Linked DNA regions of Canis lupus familiaris. The protein of the gene in region 1 interacts with the protein of each later gene in a biochemical or structural test. Links are inferred from orthologs where the notes say so. Each region holds a gene or a part of one and is shown on either strand. Other genes may lie near its edges.

The links.
Region 2: the proteins of SNTB1 (region 1) and MAPK12 interact in a test that uses a peptide from one of them, tested with the Homo sapiens proteins (2 studies listed by IntAct, with this or other methods). The link is inferred for Canis lupus familiaris from reciprocal best matches to the Homo sapiens genes SNTB1 and MAPK12.
Region 3: the proteins of SNTB1 (region 1) and SLC16A7 interact in a test that uses a peptide from one of them, tested with the Homo sapiens proteins (2 studies listed by IntAct, with this or other methods). The link is inferred for Canis lupus familiaris from reciprocal best matches to the Homo sapiens genes SNTB1 and SLC16A7.
Region 4: the proteins of SNTB1 (region 1) and GUCY1A2 interact in a test that uses a peptide from one of them, tested with the Homo sapiens proteins (2 studies listed by IntAct, with this or other methods). The link is inferred for Canis lupus familiaris from reciprocal best matches to the Homo sapiens genes SNTB1 and GUCY1A2.
Region 5: the proteins of SNTB1 (region 1) and DGKZ form a complex in vitro, tested with the Homo sapiens proteins (2 studies listed by BioGRID and IntAct, with this or other methods). The link is inferred for Canis lupus familiaris from reciprocal best matches to the Homo sapiens genes SNTB1 and DGKZ.

The regions. Positions count from the first base shown.
Region 1 is NC_049234.1:20,013,708-20,017,908, reverse strand, and holds the start of SNTB1 (beta-1-syntrophin), read left to right. Parts: upstream 1-1,400; 5' UTR 1,401-1,415; coding exon 1,416-1,962; intron 1,963-4,201. UniProt on the Homo sapiens protein: Adapter protein that binds to and probably organizes the subcellular localization of a variety of membrane proteins. May link various receptors to the actin cytoskeleton and the dystrophin glycoprotein complex.
Region 2 is NC_049231.1:17,896,270-17,899,140, reverse strand, and holds part of MAPK12 (mitogen-activated protein kinase 12), read right to left. Parts: intron 2,556-2,871; coding exon 2,444-2,555; intron 2,337-2,443; coding exon 2,307-2,336; intron 2,060-2,306; coding exon 2,012-2,059; intron 1,538-2,011; coding exon 1,423-1,537; intron 1,198-1,422; coding exon 1,126-1,197; intron 1,013-1,125; coding exon 933-1,012; intron 855-932; coding exon 776-854; intron 697-775; coding exon 523-696; intron 1-522. UniProt on the Homo sapiens protein: Serine/threonine kinase which acts as an essential component of the MAP kinase signal transduction pathway.
Region 3 is NC_049231.1:3,852,237-3,855,752, forward strand, and holds part of SLC16A7 (monocarboxylate transporter 2), read left to right. Parts: intron 1-1,872; coding exon 1,873-2,144; 3' UTR 2,145-3,516. UniProt on the Homo sapiens protein: Proton-coupled monocarboxylate symporter. Catalyzes the rapid transport across the plasma membrane of monocarboxylates such as L-lactate, pyruvate and ketone bodies, acetoacetate, beta-hydroxybutyrate and acetate.
Region 4 is NC_049226.1:25,514,183-25,517,698, reverse strand, and holds part of GUCY1A2 (guanylate cyclase soluble subunit alpha-2), read right to left. Parts: intron 647-3,516; coding exon 161-646; intron 1-160. UniProt on the Homo sapiens protein: Has guanylyl cyclase on binding to the beta-1 subunit. Isoform 2 acts as a negative regulator of guanylyl cyclase activity as it forms non-functional heterodimers with the beta subunits.
Region 5 is NC_049239.1:43,521,733-43,525,248, reverse strand, and holds part of DGKZ (diacylglycerol kinase zeta), read left to right. Parts: intron 1-179; coding exon 180-257; intron 258-1,352; coding exon 1,353-1,409; intron 1,410-1,763; coding exon 1,764-1,832; intron 1,833-2,701; coding exon 2,702-2,773; intron 2,774-2,873; coding exon 2,874-2,990; intron 2,991-3,090; coding exon 3,091-3,162; intron 3,163-3,378; coding exon 3,379-3,474; intron 3,475-3,516. UniProt on the Homo sapiens protein: Diacylglycerol kinase that converts diacylglycerol/DAG into phosphatidic acid/phosphatidate/PA and regulates the respective levels of these two bioactive lipids.

The sequences.
Region 1 (4,201 bases):
GGGTTAGAGAATGTTCGGTGATGTCAATGGTGATACACATCAGTGGGAATGTGTTTGGTAAGATTTCTAACCTTGCTGGGTTACTTGTGAGTTTTGCTTTGTTTTGATTTTAGACAGCGGGGAGAGAGATGAAAAGTTGGGGGGAGGGGGATAAGACTTAAAACTGGTGGGGAGGCCCATGACACCTGATTACGGCGGGAGGAGAACCTCAGAGGTTCAAGGACCCGGAACACTCTGAGGGGGTTCAGCCGTGACTGGGGTTAGGTTGGCATTTCTTGATTGGCCTGGTAAGGTGACCAACTATAATAATACCGTCCCCCTGGAACAATGAGTAACTAGTAACTAGTCCAAACAAGTAAGGGAACTTTGCAGATACAGTCCACTGCCACCGAGTTCTCAAACGGTGGGACCTCCTACATTGGATTTTGGGAAGAAAGAGAAAGTCCCAGGAAACAACTGGAATGGCCCTGGGTGGGGTGGGGGCGGGGACCAGACAGAGACGCAGATTGCCTACGGAGTGTTGAAGCTGGGAAGGCGTCAGGTCCCGGGGTCTGGGGTCGGGGGCAGGCAGTGACCTGCTGAAAGCCACCGGCCAGCACACGCGCCTCTCCAGGGATCCGGAGGAAAGAAGTCCTGCCTGCATTTCGAGAGAGGAAGTTTCGGGCCCTCGGGCTATGCTGACGCTCCATCCTGAGCTCTCGGGACAGCCGTCCCTCTGGACTCTCGGAGAACCCGGGGCCTCCATCCGAGTCTACCTGGGAACCCCGGCGCGGAGGGGAGCCAGGTGAGGAAGAGCTCGGCGGGAGAAGCCAAGCCTCGGTTTGCGGAAGCCGGAGCGAGGAGGGTCTGGGTCTGGGTACGGCTGGGGCGTGGGGGGGGGGGGGCGGGACCCAGGGACAGTGGGGCGGGCTCCGGGGCGTGGAGCGCGGGCCCCAGGCAGGGCGAGGGGTCCGGGCCAAGGCGCGGCGTGGGCGCCCGCGGGGCGGGGAGGGGGCGGGGCCGGGGGTCGGAGCCGCGAGCGGCCGGAACAGGTGAGCGGCCGCCGGGCCCCGCCGGGCCCCCGCCCTCCCCGCGGGCGCGCCTCCTCCTCCCGACCCTCCGGGCGCCGAGCGCCGCCGCTCCCCTCCGTTGGCGCGTTTGCAACTGGCAGCTGGCTTTTTTTTTTTTTTTTTTTTTTCTTTCCCCTCCTTTCCCCTCCCCTGAGTGTGTCTCTCCTTCTTTTAGGTCGCTCCACCCCGCGCAGGATCCGGCGAGGGGGAGCGCGCGGCGGCGGCCACCTCGCGCCGGGCGCGCGTGCCAAGTCCCCGAGCGGCGCCCCGCGCCCGGCCCGCGCCCCGCGCCCGCGGCCTCCCCGCAGCCCGTGCCCACTCTTCCCCCCTTTGGCAATCGCACGGCGTTTTAAGAATGCCGGAAAGATGGCGGTAGCGGCGGCGGCGGCGGCGGGCCCGAGCGGCGGGGGAGGCGGCCGCGCGCCGCGGAGCGGGCCGCTGGAAGTTCTGGTGCGGGACCGCTGGCACAAAGTTCTGGTGAACTTGGGCGAGGACGCGCTGGTCCTGAGCTGCGAGGAGGGCGCCGCGGCGTCCAACGGCCTGGGCACCGCCACCAATGGCGCGTTCTGCAGGGGCGCGGGCGGCGCGCAGCCCCCCGACTCGCCGGCCGGGGTCCGCACCGCCTTCACCGACCTGCCCGAGCAGGTGCCCGAGGCCATCTCCAACCAGAAGCGCGGCGTGAAGGTGCTGAAGCAGGAGCTGGGCGGGCTGGGCATCAGCATCAAGGGAGGCAAGGAGAACAAGATGCCCATCCTCATCAGCAAGATCTTCAAGGGGCTGGCGGCCGACCAGACCCAGGCCCTGTACGTGGGCGACGCCATCCTGTCGGTGAACGGGGCCGACCTGCGGGACGCCACCCACGACGAGGCGGTGCAGGCGCTGAAGCGCGCGGGCAGGGAGGTGCTGCTGGAAGGTAGGGGCTCCCGCCGGCGGCCGCGCACACACCCCCTCGCACCCACCCACGTGCCCGCGCAGCCCCGGGGCCGGCGGCGGGGAGCTGGGACAGCTTTAGCCCCCCTGCCCCCGGGTCCCCAACCCAGGTCCCTGACCCCGCGCCCCTAACCCAGGTCCCTGACCCCGCGGCCCTAACCCGGGAGCTCTTGCAGGCCGGGACCCTGCAGGGGTGTGTGAAGGGGCAGGGCGAGCAGGCTTAGTGCACCGCGTGTCCTGTTTCCCCGCGGATAATCCGAGTGAGGCGTGGGGGCCGAGTGTAACCCGGGGCAGCCGTCCACGCGGCGGGGAGAGCCCACTGAATGAATAATCGCAACTCTGCTGCAGCTTCGTGCCTCGGCACTATGTTCTCAGAAGCCTGGGCGATCTGATTTAAAGGGTTCATTCAGTCCCCCCCAAAGAGGATGGAGAGGCGTGGCCGTGTGCGTGGACCCCCCCGCCCCCCAAGCCCCCTCATCCTCCCGGACTTCCCTCCTCGCAGACTGGAAACCCGGGTTATTACGCTGGGGGAGTTGTGCCAAGGGCTGGGGAAGTGTGCCGCAGCTTCATGCAGAAGTTGGTTCCCTTCTGGTGCCAGGTGTTTGGCCGGTCAGTCTGGATTCCAGGCTGCTCTGGCTGGAGGGTTGCTGAGGCAGTTTTTCTGCCTGGCCTCGTCCCGGGATTTTTCCTGAGTGGCGTGGAAACAGTTTCGCATTTGTAAACAGTTTCCCCTGAGTGGGAGGCTTCTTGGAAAGGACTCTCTTGAGATCCTATGTCCCCAATCCCCTAATTTTTCAAGGGAGTGGAATAGGTAGCCGAGTTGTTATAGCCTTTTGGGATTATGTGCTGTTAGGAGGGCAGAAGGGCAGTAGGGTATTAAGTGGATAATCATTCTCCTTTCCCACTACATCTTGTATCTCTTACTTGGTAACTGCCTCTCTGCCCCCATGGCTTGCTTCGTGCTAACCTCAGTTAGCACACATATCATGTAATTATTTTTGCCTATTTACTCAGCTTCCCCCTCACTGTAGATTGAGTTGCCTGGGGTCTTTTATTTAGTTATGGGTCATCTCCCTTGAGTTTCAGGGCTCAAGGATATGCATGACAAGTGAATAAATAAATGAGCCCATAGCCATGGTCGCACAGTATTTCAACCCAGATCTTGTAAACTGGTGGTTGATTTAAATCCGAAATTGAGGACTTAAAGTCAATTTCCTGCTCACCAGATGTGGTGCTGGTGTGTGAAACCGAGAAAGTTCAAAGTTGGAAAACCAGCTTTGTTACATGTGACAGCTGATGCAACTCTCTGGTACACGATCGTCCAGCTCCTGCCTAGAATACATAGGGTCCTCCCCCACACACTTTTATTTATCTAGAGGATTTGTGATGTCTTCATATTTAATAGCTACCCTGGATCCAGAAAGTGGAAGGCTATTTGCTTTGGCTTGATGATTAACATAAGTAAACAGAAAAAAGTTTTCTTGACTCGAGTGTGTGTGTTGGTTTGTGTGACAAGAGGCAGGTGGGATCTGCGGCAAGTTTAGTTTGGACTATAAACTGCTAGGCGCCTGCTTCGCTTGCAATATTTGCTATAAACTCTCAGGGGGGACAAAAGGCAGGCCATTTCTCTTTCAATTCGTTATGTCTTTTATGTCCTTCATTATGTCTTTTCTTCTCTTTGGTTTCAATTTAATGAATAATAACTTAGCAAAGAGATGAAAAAAAAAATCTCTCACCCAAAAAAAGAGGAAGGAAAGGTGACTCCCTGCAGTTGAAAATAAATTTAAAAGGAATCAGACAGTTATGTGACTTTACGGATGCAGCAACCTAAGAGTGAGTTTTGTAAAAACCTCTGATGTGACATTCTTGCAACACGCCATCCTGTGTTACGGGCAGGACCTCTGCGGGGAGGCCTGTGGGCCTCCTGGAAATGAGCCACCTGGGCTTGGGGGCAGCAGTCTTATTCCCAGCCAGAGTTTTCAGAGATCGACTGCAAATGAGAGAAGCCAGTAGAGGCCCCACTCAAAACAATGTCTCTTGCTCTGAGTTGAAGTGTTGGTCCTGAGTGCGTGCAGTAGGAGTGATCATACACCATCAAAGCAAATATCACACGTCCTCTCTTTGTAGCTTATAGTAGTGCATGGATTCCCTACTGAAGGGGCATGTCAGTACCACCGGAAGGGCTTTTCAAAATCACACACCTACTTGCCGGTATTCTCAAA
Region 2 (2,871 bases), on another chromosome or scaffold:
TCCACGCTCAGCGAAATCTGCTTGAAACCCTCTGTCCCCCTCTGCCCCTTCCTGCCTGGTGCCCGAGCGCACACACTCTCACTTGCGCTCTCTTAACATGTAGATCTTTAAAAAGGAAAGTGGGGCAAAGAGAGGCCACCAGAAGTTCAAGAGGTGAGAGTGGAAGTCTGGGGCACAAGGGGGTGCAGAAGGGCCGCAGGATGGCCCAGGTCTCTGGCCAGCACTGGTGCCGGGCCTGCAGGGTAAGTGCTCACAACTGCCCGCAGCTGGGGGCTGCTACCCAGTTTCCAGAACTCTCCTCCGCACTTGTTTGTGCTGAACCCCCTGCCCGGAACGTTCTTTCATCCTTCAGCTCCGGCCAGAGGGCCCATTGGCCAAGAAGCCCCCTGCCCGCTGGCTGTCTGCTGTATTCCTCACCGGGCCTGCGTCCCAAGGTCGGGGGACCCGGGGCTATGAGCCCTGACCACCTGTGCTGGGCTCACGGGGTCCAGCCACCGCCCCTGCCCAGAGCCCCCCACTCACGCTTCCACTCGTCCAGCGTGCGGTCCACATCATCAAAGGACTCGTCGTACTTCTGGGCCTTGGGCTCCTCCTCCGTGTCCTGCAGGGACTCGAAGTACGGGTGGGTCAGCGCCTCGGCCGCCGTCACCCGCTGCTCTGCGTCCAGCACCAGCATCTTCTCCAGGAGGTTCACGGCTGTGGGCAGCGCCGGTCAGGGAGGGCCCAGGGCCCACTGTCCAAGTCACTGACCCAGCTCCCCTGAGTCCCATCCTACCCAGGGGGCTTGCGTTAGTCAGGATGGAGGCAAAATCCTTCTTCTGCAACTCGGGGAGGCCCTTCATGTAGTTCTTCGCCTTTTCAGGAAGAAAGGGTGAGGGGCCACGCCACAGCCCCAGCCCAGCCCCGCCGCCCACGCCCAGCTCCCAAGTGACCTCGGCACTCTGCAGCCTCTGCACGAACTCGGCGGGAGGCGTCCCTGTCACCTTCATGATCTCCTTCAGCTGGTCCAGGTCTGTGCTGAGGTGAGGAGCATAGCACGGGCCAGAGAGTGGGGCTCCCCCCAAGCTGGGGCAGCGTACCCAGCACCCACCCAGGCCCAGCCCGGCCCCCACATGTGTAGGATACGGTCACTGCCCTTGAACAGTGTCTTCCCCGTGATCATCTCTGCCATGATGCAGCCCGCGGACCAGATGTCCACTGAGTCAGAGGCCCCATGTCAGCGCTCGGTGGGCCAGGGAGGGTGGGACATGCGTGCGGAGGGACACAGACACAGCGGCAGTCCAGCCTTCCACCCCTCGCCCGGCTCCCATCCCTGCACAGCCGCCCCCCACGAGGAGCCACTGTGGGGCTTCCCCTGAAGAGGGGCAGCGGCGGCGCCACCTGGGAGGCCACGGCTGGGGGTGGTTCTGGGCAGCGCCCCACCTGTCTGCGTGTAGCGCATCCAGTTCAAGATGACCTCAGGCGCCCGGTACCACCGGGTCACCACGTAGCCAGTCATCTCGCTATCTGCCTGCCTGGCCAGGCCGAAGTCCAGGATCTGGTGGGAACCGGGAAGGCGGGGCCCGGGGCCCCCGGGAGTAGGTGGGCCAGCCTGTGACCCAGAACTGGGCACGCGGGGCCTCCTGCCAACCCTCCAGGACCCGAGGTCCTGGCCACGGACTCTCTGAGCCTCCCCGTGAGCTCCTCTGCGTGGCCAGAGCGCCCAGCCCCACTGACCTGGCTTCCACCACCCTCAGGAGCAGCGCCCCGTGGGTCTCCTTCCCTGCTGCTCTGCTCCCCGCTGACCCCGGGACCTGGCCAGCACATTGTAGAGGCCCCCTTGGCCCTACCCTGGCTCAGGCCTGGGGGCCTGGGGACACCTCCCGCCCTTCACCTCATGAGGTATGGCGTGTGCCCGATGCCCTCCTGGCCCAGACGGCGGGGGTTGGGTCCCTCTGCCTGAAGGCCAAGGGTAACCGGCAGATGGACAGGTGAGGAGACCCCCTGCCCCCCTCCTCCCCCCAACACACACCTTCAGCTCACAGTCCTCATTCACTGCCAGATTGCCGGGCTTCAGGTCCTGGGGACAGAGGAAGCATGGCCGTGCGGCCCCTGCCCCCGGGGGGGCACAAGGGCAGGGCCGGGGCACCTGAATGGGGAAGCAGCCACACTGGGCCAGCCCTGGCCGCAGCCCTTCCAGAGCGGGTGAAGGTCCCTGGGGACCCACAGCTGGCATCACACACACTCCCCACCGGACCCCAGCACAGGGGTCCTGGAGCTCAGGCCCCCCGCGCCTCCCTGCAAAGGAAGCTCCCACCAGGACTCACCCTGTGGATGATGCCGGCGGCGTGGATGTACTATGGGGACAAAGATAGGGTCCGCGGCGGTCAGCTCTCTGGGAGCAGCGTGCTCCCCAGCCCCAGCCTGGCCTGAGGGTGTCGCCCTCCCACACCCCCTCTCCCACCTTTAGCCCCTTCAGCATCTGGTACACAAGGAACTGGATTCGATCCTCACTCAGCTTCTCGTGCTTCATGAGCTTGCCCAGGTCAGTTCCCATGAATGGCATCACCAGGTAACTGAGAGGACAGGTGGTGCAGACAGCAGGTGTCGCACCCACTGGAGACCCCGGAGATCGCCCCGCAGCACCAGGCTCCACCCACCTGTCCAATGCCCCCCCGCAGCTCCTCCTCCCACCCAGCCCCAGAATGTCAGGTTCGTCAGGACCACACTGTGGTGCTCCCTGCAGGGCACATGGAGGCTGGGATCTGGGGAGCACCAGGGATCACAGGCAGAAGAGGGTGCAAGAGAAAGGAAAGCCTGCAGGTAGGGGCGGGGACGGCAGGACACATGGTCAGAGCGGCAGGCTGGGCAGGTGGAGGGAGAGAGACAGCG
Region 3 (3,516 bases), on another chromosome or scaffold:
CTTCTGAATGAATGAGTATCATTGTAGTTACTATTCACACAGTTGCTGCTGCTGCCGCCACTCTTGTTAGTAGAGCAGTAGGAGATAGAGTATGATTTTTAGTTTTGTTTTTTTTCAGCTCAGACTTTCTGTGCTGTACTCACAAGAGCTGAAGCTTTAGTTCTGGAAATCATATCTGGTTTCTTGATGATGCTAAAATACTCCCCACACATTTAGAAAGTATGTTGATATGGCAGCCCAAAGTGATACTAACTCTGATAGGGACGTAGACCTAATGTTTATGTATTTAGAAGTATAAGAATCATTGTATGAATAGAAATATTTGACTAGCACTAGAATGGAAATTTAAATTATACATTTTTGTTATGTTTATCTATATGGCACACTTAAATAAGCCGACTCCACCATTTAACTAATTAAACAGAGGACTTTGCTCAAATAGGCAATTTCATAAGTAGCTAAATTTAATACTGAGCCACTAACTAGATTCTATCCAGAATGAATGAGATTCTGATTAAAGAATCAGGCCTATATCAGAATCACCTAGAATATACATATAATAAATAATATAGATTTGTATATACTATCATTGTTAAGATTTAGGTACCTGCATAACCAAGAGGCAAAATTAAGTAAAGCTGAATTATTTTTACAAGTCAATAAACCAGGGTGCCTGAATGGCTCAGTTGATTGAGTGCCCGACTCTTGGTTTCAGCTCAGGTCATGATCTCAGGGTTATGAGATAGAGCCCCACGTCAGGTGTAGCTACATTGGGCACAGAGCCTGCCTAAGAGTCTCTGTCTCCCTCTCCCTCTGTGCGTCCTCCTATCCCCCGCTACTCTCACTCAAAAAAAAAAAAAAAAAAGTCACTAAACGTTCAGGTTATATGATATTAGGCTAGTTTTTAAATGTTCCCAATAATCAAATGTAATAAATATTTTCTTCCTGATTAGTCTGGCTTTAATAATTTAGAGTCAGATAAACTAAATTGCTTTTAGCCCAAAAAGTTATGGTCTGACTCTTAACCAAAAGGTGTGGTGAAGCTCTTTTGCAGAGTAGTTAAGAACCTGAGATTCAGGGACCTTGGTTAGACTCCTCATTCTGCCACTCACTGGCTATGTGGCCACATTCAGATTACTTCATCAGGCTCTTGTAAGGATTAAATTAGATATTACCCCATTTAAAAGTGTTTAGCCTAGGGGCCCCTGGGTGGCTCCGTCAGCTAAGCCTCTGTGTCGCTCAGGTCATGATCCCAGGGGCCCAGGATGAAGCCCTGCGTTGGGCTTCCTGCTCAGTGGGGATCCTGCTTCTCCCCCTCTCTCCCCTCGCACTCCCTGTTCATGTTCATCCACTGTCTCTCTCTCTCTCAAATAAATAAATTAAAAATCTTAAAAAGAAAAATGTTTCTATGCCTAGTGCTGGACATAGAAAAAGCATGTCAAGAACCTTAAAAAAGCCTTTGGGTCTTTCTTAAATAAAAAATATAATTTTTTCATTTTTATTGAAAAGCTTGGAAAGGATGAAGCAGTCTCAATGGTAAATATTAATAGATAAATATATCTAGATACACATAGATACAAAAAACATGTCTCACACATACATGTATTTAAGAATATATACCTACTTTGTCTTGGTTGTACATTTTTATTGAGGGGAATAGTCTTTAGTAAACTTAATATGCTGGTAATATAATGCTGTGTGTGTCCATAATTGCCTTTTCTATGCATATATAGAATTCATAATCTGTAATATTTTTTGTTAAAATCTCATTTAATATTAACTTAAATAAGAAATAAGTACATACTTTGTAGAAGAATTTATTGGAACATGTTATCATTTTCTGGTTGTTTTATTATGTTCTCTGTCTCTTAGGTAAATTGGTGGATGAAACTGGACAGTATAAATACATGTATATAGCCTGCGGAACTATTGTGTTCCTATCAAGTGTGTGGCTGCTCATTGGCAACGCTATAAACTACAGATTGCTTGCAAAGGAAAAGAAGCAGGAAGAAGGAAGGATGAAATCATTGAATATACCTGAATCCAAAGAGTCTGAACCCCTGAACAAATCTAAACCTCATGACATTGACATCAAAAGTACAGAAACAGGGAACAATCCCTCAGAAAGAGAAACTAATATTTAACAAGAATCACATCTCTGATTTCAGTGTTTATGACTTTCTTAGGAGTTTTTTTTTTTTTTTCAAAATTTCGGGAAAGTTTTTACTTGAAATGAGGAGTCATAATTAAGGATGGAGATCAGACTTTCCTCAATGGCAAATTTTTATAAGTTTGTTTTTTAAACCTTGTTTGGATAGTTAAATTCTGAGATTATGCCTATAAAAAATCCATGCAATGGGTTTATTTCCATTCATGACTCGGGCTGTCATGGTTAAAATAATTTTAAAGTCTTCCAGTGACTTCCAGTCTTGGTTATAGAGATCTGAATCCCAAACCCCTGGTTCAAGTAGTTAGAAGGAGTCTGTTTAATCCAATAAGAATACCCTGTCCAAATTTTATTTTTAGTGTTAAATGAAATTGAAAGAAAATGAATTTTCTTCTACTTGCACACACACACATCCACACTCACTTATATGTACACATGTGCACAAAGTATCCAGCAAACAAAAGACAAATAAGTTCAAAAAGAATATTATCACTTTTTTAACTTAAAAAATAAATACATGGAGAATGAAGACATGTGTTATATCAGCATAATACTTTATAATATAAATTTTGAAGATAAGAACATGGGTGAAAATGAGGATGATCTTAATTTGAAAATGCAACTAACTGAGTAAAAAAAGTATTTGCATATATAAAATAAATTTGAAAAAAAAAAACCCTCTCCATTTTAAACCATTATTTCTTCATACTGTTAGATTTGATTAATTCACGCACATGACTTCTTTGAGGATGAACATTAGTACCTGGTGCTAGAGAATAGAACCCTCCAATAATTCTTACTTAATATGTAAATCAAATTAAAAGCCTAAGTGACTCCTCACAATGAGCTGCCTTCATTGATTTTAAAAGGATTTTAGTTACTAATCCAGAAAGTAATAACCAGGGATTTCTTTTAATCAGAACTCAATCCAGACTCAACTGTCATACCGAGACTTCAAAATGGAATCTACCAGAATCCTGGTTGACAGGCTGACAAATAGGCCAAATTCTAATTTTTCCCAACATGTTGCAGCAATCAGAGTGTTACTGTTATGAATGATCCATCTGAGTAAAGCTGATTAAGAGTGAGAGGTGCTTATACTGAGCCCTCTAAATTCTCTCATTTCTCTTCCCTCCCTAAAATGCAAAAGCAAAACACAGAAATCCAAGCAGGCCTTTTGCTCAGCCACTGAAATTCCTCATGTTGCAGGAATGGCAACACTTCAAAATCCCACCCCCTCCTGATGAGACTTTCTGCTACCTGGAACCATAACTGGGAGACCGTTAGAAAAGGTTTCTAGAACTGGAAGCTGCATGTAACTTGGAACATACACTCGTGAGGGGTAGGCA
Region 4 (3,516 bases), on another chromosome or scaffold:
ATTAAACAGGAATACTTGTAGTCTGTCTAAAATTTCTAAATTAAAGAGATTTCCATTATTTACTACCAAGTTTAACTTTACAAAGAAAATTGTATCCTTGCAATTTCAGATCACTTATGATAAAAAAAATACTTGTGTATAAGTAACTAAACCCCTTTACCTTATAAATATCCAAAAATCCACACTGGTGGTCAAACCTGGTATACAGTTCATTCAGCATGCTGATCACCTGCATGGGAGTACACTGGGCACATATGGCTGTGAAGCCAACAATGTCCGAGAAGAGCATGGTAACGTCATCAAACTTTCTTGCCTGCACCTGCTGCCCTTGCCACAGCTGCTGGGCTACATCACCAGGGAAAATAGAATACAGAAGATCCACTGTTTTCTTTTTTTCTTCTTCCAGGGCCTGATGAGTTCTTTCCAAAGTTGCCTTTAATTTATCCATCCTCTTCTTCAAGCCATCTTGTGCCTTTGCCTGTTCACCAACCAGAATGACATCTCGGGTGGCATCATGAATAGGGATGTCTGAGAGATGCAGCCCTCGGCCCATGAGTTCATCCAACTTGTCCACACATGGAGAGCCCAAGAATAAAATGGAATTTGATTCTGGGACATGGATCATCTGTCCTTTGACTTCCATCACCTGCAAAATTAACATGAAATTTTAATCAGTGCTCTTCACATAGTAGGTTCACAAAAAAAGTTAATTTACTATCTGATGAAGAGAAGGAACAAGAAATGTATATTAGCTATGCTGAATTTCTGCATTCATATGAGCAAATTTGAATATGGTTGGCAACCTGTGTAAAATTCATGGTTCTGAACAGAAATCTTTGTTATTATGCCCCACTTTGCTACTTCCTAAAGACAATGATGAAATGATGAGTGAGATCAATGAGAAATGAACCTGAAAAACATTTTTTATTCAAAATGAAATTACACTCAGGCTCATCATGAAATTGGCTCATGAGTCAATTTAGCACCTTTCAACCTGCTTAATAATAAAATTAGGATAAATCCATCTGTCAAAACAACTGTATTCAAGTCATTAAAATAACACTCAGGGAAAAAAAGTCCAGAAATTCAAATAAATCAAAATAATTGTTTGGCCTTACATAAGTCATTTTTCAAGGCTTGTAGACCTTTGAATATATAGTAGTTCTTGCACTGACTTACAGAATGATTCACTTTATCTTTAAAAATAAAAATTTAAACTAGATGTGATTATGTCTGTATTATCAGGAAGTAATTTTCAATCAAATATCATGTTCACTATGAGCTGAAAATATACCCCCTAAATCAGAATAACACTAAAGGAATTCAGTTAGGAAGATAAAGAATCTGAAGATGCACTACTTTAAATTGGTCCCTCCTTTCTGTATTCTTTGACTACAGAACTTGGGCGACTGATGTTTCATGTGTTCCATCAGTGGACGCAAACTGATGCTAGCTTAGCATGGCACCCTATGAGCCATTCCAAGGGAAGGAGCGGCAGCAGGAAAGGAAATGCACTTAGGATGTTGCTGTACAGTGGGACTCAGTGGCTCAGTCAGTTAAGCATCTGCCTTCGGCTCAGGTCATGATCCCAGGATTGGGATAGAGTCCCACATCAGCCTCTACACTTGGTGAGGATCCTGTTGCTCCCTTACCCTCTGCTTATCCCTCCCCTGCTCATGCTATCTCTCCCTCTCTCTCTCTGTCAAATAAATAAAATCTTTAAAAAATAATAAAAATAAAAAAAGGATGTGGCTGTACAGAGTTATCTGGGCCAGAGTAAGGTATCTCCTGGAAAGGAGAGAGGTGGTAATGACCTAGAAAGAACAGCCCAAGAGTTGACCACCAAGAGTGCATATCTGTTTAACCTATATCACCTTCCACTGCCACATGGATGTGGCTCATTAAATTTATTTTCCTTTATTATTTGTAGCATGAAGTAGTTTGGCTGGCTGATGAAACTGAAGGCATAGAACAAACATACAGTAAAACTGAGAGATTTGGATGTGTAGGCCTGCATCTATGTTTTACATGATTCCACCTGTACCATTCATCAAGATTCAGTACAGACATGGAAATAAAATCAGGTCCTCCCTTGACACTATAATTTTTATGAAATGAAATGTTTGCTTTATCTTAAGTGAAGTTACCACGAGTGTTCAGTATTTCCTCCTCTGATACCTAGTACTCTCATTTCTTCAATGAAATATTTATTGTTTCCTATTTACTCACACTGCTCTAGGTCATTAGCATAAAAAGATAAAAGAATATGCCCCTTCTCAAGGATACATAGGATGGTGATGGAGGCCAGAAAATGGTGTGCAGAAGACACTCCCAATCCCTCCCCCCGCCGCCCACCACCACCACCAAGGGCAGTTTCCCAAGGCTGCAGGCTATGGCCTGAGTACAGACAGAGATGACTGTTCTGAGAATATCCAGGCTGTGTCCTGTGTGCTGTGCCTGGCAGGCTGTGTTGAGAGGACTGCTGTTAATGGCACATGCTTGCCCACCATCGGGATGGTGAAGGTGTCATAAGGAAGATACACAAAATCTACAACATCAAAGCTAAAAATTGACCATGATCCATTTATTCATAAAGTTTAAGTTTTGTAAAAGCAAATCTCTGATGCTCAGAGATCTAAATCTAGATTTAGACGTATGTGGTCTCTCTCTCTCTCTCTCTCTCTCTCTCTCTCTCTCCCCCCTCACATTTCAGATGTTTTCTTCTTCTCCATCTTACTTTTTTCTCCCTTCTCCCCTTTGTTTTATGGACTTATACTTCCAGCATCCTCTCTTCACTTGGTCTTTGTCTCTCCTGCTGCCTGTCTCTCTCTCTTATGAGCACTCCCTGCCCCTCCCTCTTTCCTCATTACTTCATTCTCTTCCAAGACATCAACCTCCACGTGTCCCATCACAAATGGACCCCTTTCTCCCTTGCCACCATCTCTCTTTATGTCAGATACAGAATCAGCCTATGGTACATGCACTAACAACATTATGTATTATTTGCTATATGTAATAAACAATAGCGTTTTTGTTTAACTTAAAAGAAGCTGAGTCGAATATCTGCAATTCCTAGCTCAAAAATATAAAACATAAATAGGTTCTTGATCTATACGTGGCCATTAGCTGTTTGGGTGGTTTTTATTTTGAAATCTCTGAATCAACAGAGTCTGAGGAAAAAGTGATTGCTTACCTCCTACACTACAGAATAACAACTCATAAGATAAGCCCCAATGTACATGTAAATAACTTTTAATATTTTTTCATCAGTGAATTTTTCCCTTATTTAATAAATGGGCAAATATAACTGAAGCATTTGTGTCTCTATCATAAATGTGTTTTTACTTTAATTGGTAATAACATAAATTATTCCTTTTGAATTACATTTGTACCATTATAATCATAAATTCAGGAATTCACCATCATCTTCACTTGTTCATTTAGCAATGTGCAGAATTATTATAGAAATTATATATTCTTATGTATAGGAAGCAGATTTATGGGAAAATACATAAA
Region 5 (3,516 bases), on another chromosome or scaffold:
CCTGAGGATGGCAGAGGGAATGGGGGCTGTGTTCTTTCTGACGCCAGGACTGGGAATTCCCAGTGAACACAGAATTCCCGGCTGTGCTGGGGCAGATGTAAGGATTTCTCTTTCTGCCTGGGGCAGCATCCTGGAGGGAGTTACCTGGTGCCTCAGGGCCCTCTCTTTGTTTTCTGTAGCAGAAGTCAGTGTCCCGGAGAAAGTGTGCAGCCTGCAAGATCGTGGTGCACACCCCCTGCATCGAGCAGCTAGAGAAGGTGAGTATGGGTCCTCAGCCTTTCCTGCTCCTCCCTATTGAGTGCTGAAGTCATTTTAGTACACGCACGCGTGTATCTCTGCACGCATATTCACGTTACAAGCATTGTGTGGTGAAGAGCCAAAGACCTTGGGGCTGAAATGTCTGCCTTTGAATCCTGTCTCCCCCCATAAGCTCCTCTGTCCCCACTGCCCAGAACAATCCTGGCACAGAGTGGTGCTCACTGACTGTTATTCGGTGGGATGAATAAATAAGTGACGGCCAAAACACCATTTTATCCGCACCTAAGTTAGCATTTAGAAGGGGCCATTGTCTTGCCGAAGCTTGGCTCTGTCCCCTATATGCTGCTGCTCTAGAGACCTTTCCCTAGGGACTGTTGTCCACAGTGTGTCTACAGCTGGTGCCACGTCTGGGCCCTGTGCTTCTAGAGGGAAGTTGGGGGAACCCTGGGTAGGCAGGTCCAGGCAGAGGGTGGGAGGGCTCCCCAGGCAGCAGAAACCCATCAGCACATGGGAAAGCCTGTAAGACTAGGACCAGCGTGAGCAAGGGTAACGTGGGCCACTTGCCCCAGCCCTTAACTCAGAGAGTGAGGCTTCCCTTGGCAACTTGGGTGCTCCAGCTAAGGCTGGAGCAAAGACAGTTGGGAAAAGAGAAACAAACGTAGCCCCAGGCATTATAGAGCCCAAGGTGGAAATCGGACCAGTTTCCACAAATGAGCTCATGGTCTCCAGGGATCAGCCCGCGCGAGTCTGCAAGCAAGGATCAGGGTGCCTTCCCGTGCCTAGGTTGGGAGCACTGGAGGGCAAGGGGAAGTATGGGAAGAGGCAGGGAGGTGGACGCAAAACTCCCAGTGTCCCCCATCCCAGGATACTAACAGAGGAAGGAAGAGCCCTTCTGGATAGTGGAGAGGAGGCGGAGAAACAGGAGGGCTTCTGAGAAGAGGTGTCTCATATTCTGATGGTTCCCAGGAGGCTTTGGGGCTATCACTACCTTGTGAAGATGACTCCGAATGACACTTTCTTAGAGAAGGTGGATAGATGCCTGACTGCCTGAAAGGAGGTTCTAACAGTTGGGTGGTCATTGCAATGTTTCACAGATAAATTTCCGCTGTAAACCATCCTTCCGTGAATCAGGCTCCAGGAACATCCGTGAGGTAAGTGCCTAGGGTAGTTATGGGTAAGGAGGCATTGAGTTTCCCGAGTGGGCTTCTCCACGGTGTCTGTAGAGTGCCACCAGGGGACCCAGCCGCTCTGGGGCTCAGGGACGTGCAGGGCTGAGGCTCTGAGAGGGTCTCAGTGGGGGAAGGCCTGGCCTTGCCTGCAGAACGGGTGAGGCACAATGCCTGCCTCTTGGGCCTCCTCGCTCTCCAGCCCTCTCACCTCACACACACTTCTGTGGAGAACTTGCTGCGGCCCCACGCCTCCCATTAATATATGGAGCGGTGCAGGCCATGCTTCAGGCTTGTGCCTCTCCCACTCCTCACTCCAGTGATACTCTCCTCCTCCAGCCAACCTTCGTGCGGCACCACTGGGTACACAGACGACGTCAGGATGGCAAGTGTCGGCACTGTGGGAAGGTGAGGCTCTGCCCAGGCTGGTTGGCCAGCCTGCTGCCCCTGGGCCTGGACCCCGCAGCCCCCAAGCCTCAGGCCGAGCATCCGGTCTGCCCATCACTGACACTGTCTCCTGAGTGCAGAGTCCTGGGGCTCACTCCCACCCTGGCTGAGGTGCCCAGTCAGCTCCAAACGCTCAGGTCTCTACACAGAGCAGGAGAGCAGGGAAGAAAGTTACCTTTGGTTCAGTGTATCTGGACTGCCTCAAAGTCGTGGTTGAGCCCTCTGAGAATTTCATAGACTTACTTGTTTGGTCACTGAGGACATTTGTTGAGCACCTGTTGGGTGCTGTACTCAGGGCTAGGTAGTGAGGCCTCTGCCCTTCCTGCAGGAGACTGTGGCCTGAAGACACACTGTGGGCGGTCTTCCCCGAGTGCAGTGCACGGTGTGGTGGTCACTTGTTCCTTGTGTGCTTCTGGTTTGTATCCCTCAGGAAGCATAGGTTCTAGAAGGTCTTGGGGCCCTGTCTCTTTCCTCTGTTCATTCTCAGTCCCGAGCACAGTGTCCGGCACACGGCAGGCCCTTGATCAATGTTGTGGGATGAACAAGGGAATGAATGTGATAGATGCCTCGAAGCATATACCAGGGGGCCTTGGGGTATGGGCTCAGGAAGGAGGGCATCTGAGCTGGCAGGAGTCAGTTGTGGACCCTTCGCAACAGATTGGGTATGTGCACCCAGCGCCTCGCGGGTAACTTCAGGTTAACCTTGTAGAGTGGCAGGCCGCCCGGCTCCAGGGGCTTATCTTACAGATTTTTTTTTTAATGTGAAAAAAAAAAAAATGTGCTCAGTTTCCCTGGGGCCCCAACCACCCACTGCCTGCTTCCTACCCTAGGGCTTCCAGCAGAAGTTCACCTTCCACAGCAAGGAGATTGTGGCCATCAGTTGCTCCTGGTGCAAGCAAGCGGTGAGTGGTGCTCGCCCCTCCCTTCCCTGGCTGCTCTGGGTGTGTCCCCCCCCCCCCAAACAGCTGAGGCCTCAGCTCACCTGCGCCCCCTATTCTCTAGTACCACAGCAAGGTGTCCTGCTTCATGCTGCAGCAGATAGAGGAGCCGTGCTCCCTGGGTGTCCACGCTGCTGTGGTCATCCCGCCCACCTGGATCCTCCGTGCCCGCAGGCCCCAGGTGAGTCCTGCCCGCGGCTGTGATACCACCCCCATGCTCGGGCTCTGCCAGCCGTCCCAGCCCACCTTCCTTGTCACCAACACCCCGGCTTTCCTTGCAGAATACCCTCAAGGCAAGCAAGAAGAAAAAGAGAGCATCCTTCAAGAGGAAATCGAGCAAGAAAGGGCCAGAGGTTAGTCCTGGGGCCCGACAGACAGCGGGAGGGGAACAGGAAAGAGGGGCCTGTTCCTCCAAGTGCCGGGCTCTGGGCCCTTGAGGAAAGTAGGAGACTGTGGCCAGGCCCACCTTGAGGTCTGCCCTGGAGGTGGTTATGGGAGGGGCCACCGCCGAGAACAGGGGCGAGGTCTGCCAAGACAGGCTGGAGCCTCATAGTCTCTCCATCTCCAAGGAGGGCCGCTGGAGACCCTTCATCATCAGGCCCACCCCGTCACCCCTCATGAAGCCCCTGCTGGTGTTTGTGAACCCCAAGAGTGGAGGCAACCAGGTACTCACAGCCTGCCCTCTCTGCTGAGAGCCTTGGGGGTTA